3 linked regions of the Ovis aries genome follow. The protein of the gene in region 2 interacts with the protein of the main gene of each other region in a biochemical or structural test. Links are inferred from orthologs where the notes say so. Each region holds a gene or a part of one and is shown on either strand. Other genes may lie near its edges. The genes, in order: SIAH2, SNCA and SIAH1.

What was found.
Region 1: of the proteins of SNCA (region 2) and SIAH2, one has a biochemical effect on the other in vitro, tested with the Homo sapiens proteins (4 studies listed by BioGRID). The link is inferred for Ovis aries from reciprocal best matches to the Homo sapiens genes SNCA and SIAH2.
Region 3: the proteins of SNCA (region 2) and SIAH1 form a complex in vitro, tested with the Homo sapiens proteins (3 studies listed by BioGRID, with this or other methods). The link is inferred for Ovis aries from reciprocal best matches to the Homo sapiens genes SNCA and SIAH1.

The regions. Positions count from the first base shown.
Region 1 is NC_056054.1:238,088,367-238,092,121, reverse strand, and holds the start of SIAH2 (E3 ubiquitin-protein ligase SIAH2), read right to left. Parts: upstream 2,373-3,755; 5' UTR 2,058-2,372; coding exon 1,629-2,057; intron 1-1,628. UniProt on the Homo sapiens protein: E3 ubiquitin-protein ligase that mediates ubiquitination and subsequent proteasomal degradation of target proteins.
Region 2 is NC_056059.1:35,550,229-35,553,883, reverse strand, and holds part of SNCA (alpha-synuclein), read right to left. Parts: intron 2,226-3,655; coding exon 2,083-2,225; intron 1-2,082. UniProt on the Homo sapiens protein: Neuronal protein that plays several roles in synaptic activity such as regulation of synaptic vesicle trafficking and subsequent neurotransmitter release.
Region 3 is NC_056067.1:16,326,978-16,329,686, forward strand, and holds the end of SIAH1 (E3 ubiquitin-protein ligase SIAH1), read right to left. Parts: intron 2,505-2,709; coding exon 1,654-2,504; 3' UTR 518-1,653; downstream 1-517. UniProt on the Homo sapiens protein: E3 ubiquitin-protein ligase that mediates ubiquitination and subsequent proteasomal degradation of target proteins.

The sequences.
Region 1 (3,755 bases), on a different chromosome or scaffold from region 2:
AATATCCACTCTTATGTCACTAATCACCAAATCTTCTCTTGGTCACTAGGCTACCACCTTGTTCATGACCCTAAGAAAATTTTGAAACTGTTTTGTGTAAATTTTATGACAAACTACTACTGGGCTGGGTGCATTAGTAAGCATTGCATGAGGAGTGGTTCAAAGCATGATAATTTATTAGGGTTGACTGAAAACCCAGAGCTCAAACACAAGTTCAAACGCTTATTTGAATATGCTATTTTAAACCCTATTTGTGGCAGGACACAGACCAAATTAAATCACTCATTTTACTGACATTCGTCCCAAGCTTCAGTTCTCTGGTGGATTATTTTTAATTTAAAAATAAGCCCTTGCCCTATAAAAGTAAGCAGCAGCAAAGAGAAATCAATGCCAGAGAGCCTAAATGGCCCATGAAGCGCTTTACCAAAAAAACTCCAAAAATATTAATGACATTATTTCTAAGTTTAAAAAATGAGATGTATGGTAAAATTCTAGGTTATAATGCGGTAATATAGATAGATACGTCTCTATCTGCTCCTGAAACTGCTCCTGAAGATTTTTACCCAAAAGATGTAAACTGATGTTACAGTATGACCACACAATGCAAAATTATGCAGCCATTTAAAATACAATGAGATAGACTTAGGCTGCAGACATATAAAAACATGTGTGATGAAACGAACTTAAGTCAGCAAGCTGCAGAAGCCATTTTTGGAGAAAAACTTACGTGTGCATATATAAACCTTCCTGACATTAACATCGACCATTCTATATTCAGCTGCGGAGAGTGTATTTATACATGGTTAGAAAAAACTCCATGCAGATGCATACTAAACCTAACATTGGTGGGAAAGGAGACGTTTGGGTCTTTCACTTGTCTCAGTGATGTGCCCTTTTTTTTTTTTCTTTTGCAAGAGCACTGATAATTTTTTAACTAAACAAAAAATAAAGTGGTGGGCTTTAAAGAACTGTAACAACAGCTCCTGCGTGCCCTTCCAGTTAAATTCCCCATCAACTCTTGTTTTCTCCCCACTTAGTAAAATAACACAACTCATCAGTCCTTGGAAGGCTAGGAGAGGGAAAGGCGTGGCTTACAAGGTTTTCTTGTTGGAGGAAAACAGGCTGTAGGCGCCCTTTTTTTTTTTTTTTTTAGCTACACTCCCGAGGGCTCCCACGTGTCAGGGGTGCGCAGAAGGCAGACGCGGGGGGGGGGCAGGAGGAATCCAGGACCAGTCCTTCCAAGCCCAGCGCTGGCGAGGGGTGCGTTTAATTCGCTCCTTTCCCCTCTCCTCTGTCCCCCACAGATAGTCAGCTTCTGGGTCCAAGTTTTCCTTCGGCGGCCCAGCTCTACCCAGGCTGAGTACACGTCTGCAGAGTACGCAGGCTCCGGGTGGGGACAGCGTGATCGCGTGCCAATCAGGCTGGGGTCAGTGATCGGGCAGCAGTCGGCCCAGAGCTGCTCCCAAAGTGGACAGGTGGCATGGGGGAGGGCGAACACGGTGTAAACTTTTTTTCCCCCCCAGTTAATGAGAGAAGCCCACTGCCTCTCAGCGCCCGCGAATGGGCTGGGGACACAGGAGTCCCAGGAGGTCGCCGGGCGGTGGTGCGTGGCTGGCACCTGGGCTTACCTTGCAGGGAAACAGAACTGCCGAGGCCACCTTCTCCATAGCCAGGTTCCTGATGCTGGGCGTCAGGGCGCCCCGGCACGTCGGGCAGCAGCTCAACTTCTGGCGGCATTGGTTACACACCAGGTGCCCGGCCTGGCACTGCAGGATGGGAGGCAGGACATAGTCAAAGCACACCGGGCACTCGAAGAGCGAGGTCAGCTCGTGGTGCTGCGGAGACACTGGCCCAGCCCCGCCGCCGCCGCCGCCGCCGCCGCCGGGGCCCGAGACCACCGCCGCCGCGGCGGGCACCGCGGACGAGCCGGGGCCCGCAGCCGAGATGGTGGCGGCGGCCGGGGGCGCAGCCGGGGACGGAGCGTGCTGTGGCTGCGGCGGCGGCTGCTTGCTGCAGGGTTTGTTAGCGCTGGGGCCGGTGGAGGACGGGCGGCTCATTGCGCTCCGAACCAACCATGGAACTGCGGGCGTCTGCCTGCCGCGGGGCCGCCGGGGTCAAGGCGGTGCGCGCCCCGCGGGCGGCGGGCTCCTGGGCAACGCCACCGCGCCCAGCCCGGGACCGAGCAGCGGAGACGATCGGCGCCGGGCAGGATGGAGGGCTGGACCGCGCTGACGATCTCCGCGGTCCCCGGCGCTCCGAACACCCCTTCGAGCCCCCAAACTCCTCCTCCCGGCGGTGTCGCGGCCCCGAAGCCGAGCGGCGCGCAGAACCCCGGCCCACCAGCTACCGGAGCGGCCGCTGACGCAAGCCCCGGGGGCGCGCGCGGACGTGACGCTTGGACACGTGTGCGGCCGCCCGGGCGCGCGGGGACTGGCAGAACCACCCGGAGCTGGAGCTCCGGCTCCGCCCGACTCCAGCTGGCAGCGCTGGGGACCGCCTAGCGCCAGCGCTTCCTGCCTGGGCTGCGGTCCCGGCCCGCGCCAGTGAGCATGCCCGGCTCGCCGCTGCCGCCGCGCGGGGTCTCCTTTTCCGGGCCGCGGAGGAGTCCGCCCTTCGGCAAGGCGTCGCCTGAGTTCTTCGGCCACACCCCGGGGAGTCACGCCAACGCGTTCCGCGGGCTCAGAGCCGAAGGATAACTTTAGGCGGGGCGGGGGCTTGGGTGGGGGGGGGGGCGGGGCGGGACGCGGGTGCCCCAGGGACAGGTCGGAAAAAACCGAGAGGTTTCTTTTCCCAGGGTTGAGTCAGCAGCACGCGGGGGAGGCGTGACCGCGGTCAGGACGGCTCTTACTTAGACCCGGAGCTTTGGGCGGGAGCAGGGCAAGGGGCTCGGGATGGGTCTGCAGCGGGCGCAGGACCTAGTGCTGGGATGTTAAGGATATGTTTGGACCACTCTTTGGTCCTGCTCTTCCCAGGGGGAAAGGAGGTAAACTAGTCTTTTACCATTGGCCCTGCCAAAGCCTTCGTTGAATTGAGTTGAGCGCCTCTGACTTGCTAGAGGGCCAGGGAGGGAGTTCACGGACAGAGTTAACTAAAAGGAGTTCGAGATCGCCAGAATCTAAGAATGCCAGAAATGCGGCTAGGGTCCTGAAACCCCGGGAAAACAATGGATGATGCTCCAGTATAACGCATCTTTATCTTTGAGATCCCGCGGAAGTCCAAGACTTTGATGGCAAGGTGTGGGCCCTGGCCCCACACGCTCAGCCGAAGCCCTGGAGTGAGAACCGCAAGTTAACGTGTACGGAGTTGAATTGCTTTTCTGCAACTTTGACCCACTGACACTGGAATTGAGGCAATGAACTATGTAGCTGGGACTCAGGTCTTTCTTTGTAGGAGAGGCAGTGGTAAAGACTAGGTGAAAAATGGGCCTCTGCTTACCATCAATGTGACTTTGGACAAGTTCTTTATTTCTTTGTGCCTCAGTTTCCTCATTTGAGAAAGTGGAATAAAAACAGTACCTATCTTATGGGTGGGATAGTGAGGATTAAATGAGTTTGTTATATGCCAAGAACCTGGCCCATCATAATAGCTGGTTAAAAGTTTAGCAGTTATTTTTAAAAAGTAGTATTAGGGAATGTTTAATAATATTAATGAGTCCTCAGTGAATAAAATTTGTCCAAAAAATAGACTGTTAGAAGCCAGAAGAAAGTTTAGTCTTATACACGGTATATAGAAAGATTACATGCAAGGATTTTGTT
Region 2 (3,655 bases):
ACAAACTAATATCTTCTATCCTCATAGTGCTTACATTTCGGGAAGGGAAGGGAAGAAATAAAATAAACAATATGCATAAAAATAATTAAGCCAGTTATTATTTCTAAAGGTGATAAATGCTTTGGTCAAAAATTTAAAAAGAGTAGAAAAATTAGGAACACCAGAGGTAAGGAGAATGGTTCTAATTTTAAATAGGTCAGGGTAGGCTTCACTGAGAAGGTGTTATTTAGCAAAGACCTGAGGAGATAAGGGAGTGAGTCAGGGTTACTTACACTGGAGAAGAGCTTTCTAGACAGTGGGAAGAGTCAAGGCAAGGGTACACTATATGGATTTAAAGAATAGCCAGGAAGCCTTTGTGGCAGGGAAAAAACAAAAATCATTCTGCTGCTAATGATGCGACCGGCAAGGACTTAATATCTAAGATACACAAACAGTTCATACAACTCAACGATAATAAGAAAGCAAACAACTCAATCAAAAAAATGAGAATACCATAATAGACATTTCTCCAAAGAAGACATACAGATAGCTAGAAGGCACATGAAAAGATGTTCAGCATTGCTAATTATTAGAGAAATCCAAATCAAAACTGCAATGAGGTACCACTTCACATCTGTCAGAATGGTCTTTGTTAAAATGTCTATCAATAATAAATGCTGGAGAGGGTGTAGAGAAAAGGGAACTCTCCTACACTGTTGGTGGCAATATAAGTTGGGGAAGCCACTATGGAAAACACGATGATGGTTCCTCAGATAACTAAAAATAGATTTACCATATGATCCAGCAATCCCAGTCCTGGGCATATACCCAGACGAAACTATAATTCAAAAGAACCCATATACCCCTATGTTTGTAGCAGCACTATTCACAATAGCCAAAACTTGAAAACAACCTAAACGTCCATTGATTGATGAACAGATTAAGAAGGCATGACATATATACAGTGGAATTCTACTCAGCCATAAAAAAGAACAAAATCATGCCATCTGAAGCAACACAGATGCAACCAGAGATTATCGTACTAAGCGAAGTCAGAAAGAGTAAAATAAATACCATATGACACCACTTATATGTGAAATCTGAAGTAGGATGCAAATGAACCTCTCTGCAAAACAGAAGTAGACTCGCAGACATAGGATCAGACTTGTGGTGGCCAAGATGGAGAGGAGAGGGGAGGATGGACTGGGAGTTGGAAGCTGGTAGATGCAAGTCATCACATTTAGAATGGACAACAATAAGGTCCTACTGTGGCACAGGGAACTATATCCAATCACCTGGAATAAACCATAATGGGAAAAATATAAAAAAGAATATATATACGACCATAACCGAGTCACTTTGTTGTACAGCAGAGATTGGCACAACATTATAAATCAACTATACTTCAATTAAAAAAAAAAAAGAATCTGCTTATGGTGATGAATTTTGTAAAATGTTCATCTTCCAGTTGATACCTCATTTTCTGTTGCTTATTTGTTTAAAATGAAAGTCCTAACTCTTGGATAATTTTCCTAGAGTCTCATATTTGTCAAGAAAGGAAAAGTAAGAATTCTGAGAATTTTAAAATCACCCCAAAACCATGATCATTGTTCAAGCCCCTCCGTTTCCACAAACATATATTTGGCAGTGAATTGTTATATAATAAGCAAATATGCCATTTAATAAGAGATGATGTCACTATAAAGAAATTAAGTAAAAGATTTTCATTTTGAACATTTAGAGACTGGGCACAAAGCCTTTGCTATACTCCAACAAAGAAAAATTCCAAGATTCACAGCCAACATAAAAGCACCCATTCTTTCTGAAATGTCACGGCTCTTTTAAACATTTGTTACACTGTTCATTTCATTAACTTTTTTTTTCCAGGAAATAAAACAATCACATTTATTGTGCGATTTTCACAGTATTTATCTGGGTGAGTTTCTCCAAAAAGAATACATATAAAGGGAGTACTTTTTTTTAATGAGGGAAGCTCAGTCAGCTCTCCCGCAAGTAAGCATCTTATTCTTGCCTCTGTGCCTTGCTGAAAATGCAATGGTGATCCACAAGCTTAGAAATGGAACAAGATGTACACAGTCCTACCTTGCCCAGATGATCCTTTTTGCCAAAGCCAGTGGCAGCTGCAATGCTCCCTGCTCCTTCTACTGTCTTCTGTGCCACTGCAGTCACCCCTGTCACCACTGCCTCTCCAACGTTTGTCACTTGCTCTTTGGTCTTCTCAGCCACTGGGATGAATCAAAAATAATGACAGATTAAGGGATGGTGGACCAACAGCCACTAGGAATAATTTCACTTCCACTAACCATCAACTTCCAAAGACCTATATTCACACACGTAGATAACTGGTGAGTCAGGAGAAGAAAAAGTTACTGGGATTGCTAAGTGAGCGTGGCTTAGCCAAACACAGATTCTTTGCCAAGACAGTCTATGCAATCATGCAGATATTTAAAGGTGTTTCAAGCCTAATGATCACAAATTTAGGGCTATAAGCAATTTCACTCTGGTTTACATTTTATGAAAGAAAGTTTACAGAAAGCAAGGCTTGCAGGTGTAGTTGTATCAAACTCTGCATGAAATATTTCTTTATTTCAATTTCAATGCCAAGTCTTTGATCTCACTCAGCATGTTTTTTTCATCACACCTTCTGAGTCACAGAATCATACACGCTCTCACATGGTACCATCAGAAATAAAACAGAGGGAGGGATGACTATGCTGATCCTTTTATGAAGCATCAGGTAGTTGAAACAGAATGAGTTTTAGTGTTAAGATTTATTTTCAGTCATTTTAATGGGAACAAAAGAGCTGGACTTAAAGTATGAAATGAAATTGTTTGTTGAGCACACTTAATTTCTTTTCATTAAAAATAAGATATGGAGATTCGGTAGGCTTTTAAAAATGAGTTAAATTTTAAGATGATGGTATAAATAGTTTGGGATTAGATTTAGAAAGAGATTCGATCTCATGTCAAAAATTATCCAAGACTATATATAACTGTTGAATTAATCTTTCTATATTAACTCCAGACAAATATCAAATAAACAAAGCTGCAATAAAAAAAGTCTGTTTCAATTAAGAGTTTTATGAAAAAGCAGTTAAAGATGAGATTCTACACTTTTAACAATTTCAAGGTCAAGGGAAACAAGACAACTCTCCACCCAAACCTTTTTCCAGTAGTCATGTATGGATGTGAGAGCTGGACTATAAAGAATTCATGTTTTTGAACTATGGTATTGGAGAAGACTCTTGAGAGTCCCTTGGACAGCAAGGAGATCAAACCAGTCAATCCTGAAGGAAATCAGTCATGAATATTCATTGGAAGGACTGATGCTGAAGGTCCAATAATTTGGCTATCTGATGCAAACAACTGACTCATTGGAAAAGACCCGGATGCTGGGAAAAGATCAAACGCATGAGAAGGGGATAACAGAGGATGAGACGGTTGGATGGCATCACCAACTCAGTGGACATGAGTTTGAGCAAGGTCCGGGAGTTGGTGATGGACAGGGAAACCTGGCATACTGAAGTCCGTGGGGTCGCAAAGAATCAGACACAACTGAACAACTAAACTGAACTAAAACCTTATAACACTTACACTCATAAAGCCTGGGTCTTGCATTCTTATCTATATCTAATGCTTGCCTTCTTTTCTGAGG
Region 3 (2,709 bases), on a different chromosome or scaffold from region 2:
GGCCATTTCAGAATCTTTCTAGGTGCTTCAGGGTAACTAGCAACAGTTAACTATATGGTGCTAGTTACAGGCATAATACAAGTATCTAACATTTGCTGGGTGCTTATTAATGCAGAGCACTGTCCTTGGTAACTTGTATCCATCCCATCTAACCCTTGAAGGTAGCTACCACAATTAACCCCATTTTACACACCAGTAACCGGGGGTGCAGCATCACACAGCTGATTAGTGAGTAAAGGCAGCACAGGCATGTAGGTCCCTGGAAGCTGGCTGCGGAAGCTAGGCTCTAACCACTAGGCGGCAGAACACTAACTCATTTTTTTGTTGTTAAAGGGGTGTGGGGGGGGTGGTTGGGGGTGGGGGAGTGATCAGTATTTTAACTAATTGGCCTCCTAATAGAGTTAGGAGAATCAAAATGAAAGCTGAGAAAGGAAGAAAAGACTGCAGGCCGAACAGAGGCCATAACCCATTCTTTTGCTTATCTTCAAACTTAAGAGCTAAAGCAGACACGTAAGAGTTTTTAATTTGCCAGATATTCTTTTAATGAGAATTATAAAAGACCAAAAACATTTTTTTGCAAACTGCTTTTTAAACAAATGATTTGCTTTTAATTACAAATACTGTGTGAGACGATGCCTTCTTTTGCAAAACCAATAAACACAAGAACAAATTTTAAACATATGTGATTTGTCCAAGATATGTGGGGGGAACGGAGAGCCTGATTTTTTTTTTCCCCAGTATTAAAAAAAAAAAATCAGTACTCCCTAACCTTACAAAGAATAAGTCTGAAGGTATGACTCAACTGGAGAAGAGAGGGAGACCATTTTAGAGCTGCTTTAACTAGTTTGATAATTCTTCTGATGTTATCTTTCCTGCTTTAACTAGTTTCTGACAATTCTTCTGATGTTCCTTTCTGAAACTCGTATCTTCACAAAACAGTTGAATTTAAAATATTTCTAATGAACTGATTAATGGGGGAAAAGAAAATATGTATCGAACACATGTATAAATTTTACCATCAACAATTATGCATATCAAAAAGACACTAACTTTAAAAGGTACAAAAAAAAAAGTGAGGAAAAACCTGAATTACAGAAAAGAAAGTCAAATTTATTTAATGAAAAACTATAATTAATAAAAATTAGCAAATACACACAGAAAAAAAATATACACACACAGCAGCACTATGTATTGACTCACATAGGGGAAAAGCAGTGGTCCAAGACCACTCAACATGGCTTGTCAGTTGAAGGAAAAAAAAATCCAAACATACTCACACGCGCACACACACACGCACAGGCACACAAAAAAACAAGAACCCAGTATTTTTCAACGGTACACTCAATCTACAACAAACACAAATTCAGAATTATGTTACAATGCTTCCTTTCTTAATACAAAAGATGCCCATCTTGGGTGTATATATATATATATTTATTTTTCAGTGGTTTACTGTTGACTTATTTTTAAATATATTAGTGTTATTACATGCAACTGTTTCCTGTATTTAACAGCCTTTCCTTTTATTTACCTTCATGTGTCTAGCTTCCACCTACCACAAGTTTTTGGTTGGTAGGCAGACAGGTGCCTTATTCTCTGTGAAATCAAATGCAATGGTTTTAAACACTGGCCAGAAAATGTCTGATTGCCATTTCAACACATGGAAATAGTTACATTGATGCCTAAATTGCCATTTTCTGCAAAGAGCTGTGCAATGCTGGTGTCAAAGACTAGGCAGTCACTATTCATAATGGCTGTTGCAATTCCCTCATGAATAGACCGAGGAGTGGCTTCCCAAGTCAATCGCCGCCTATGACCATTTAGCTCAAGTCGATAAGCAAAATTTTCAGCTTGCTTGCGTGTTCCTATCAGCTGTACAATTGCAAAGAATTGCTGGTGACCATCATATTTTTCCTGTTTCTCCAAGACCAACATGAAGTGAAAGCCAAAACAGGACTGCATCATCACCCAGTCAACAGCACCAGGAAGATTAATGTCTGTAGCAAGGAAAACTATGTCCTCTCCCTGCAGGGTTGTGATGGACTTATGCTGATGCATCAGATGCGGCATGACAGCATCCAGAGAGCCTTGCCATTTACAGGAAGCACCAGGGCACGGACAGGAATAAGGCCTAAACTCACAGAGCTCTTCGTGGTCTGCTTTTTCTGTGTGTGGCAGAGTTATTTCACATCCAGAAGAGGCGTATTTACAAGGGAAAAGTACTGAATTGGCCACTTTCTCCATAGCCAAGTTGCGAATGGATCCCAACGGGCCCCGGCAAGTTGGACAACATGTGAGCTTTGGGCGACAGTTGCTGCAAACCAGATGGCCACTCTGGCACTGGAGAATAGGTGGCAGCACATAGTCGAAGCAGACCGGACACTCAAAGAGGCTCGCCAGGTCATTGTTGGAGGCAGTTGTGCCCGTCAGGGCAGGCACCCTCTGGGACGGCGCACACTTTGAGGTTCCGGTAGGTAATGCTGTTGCAGTCTGACGGCTCATTTCTGTAATAAAAAACACAAATAAAAGTATAAGGAGGCAGGAGAAAATTAATTACAACTATAACATGTTTTATATAAATAACATTTACTTGCCTAAAATACTTAAGTTTAGTGTAAAATTTGCTGTAAGCAAAATAAAGGAAAACAAACAGGGTTTAAAACAACACAGATTACACGAAATATGTGCACTGTGCACTGGACAAAATCT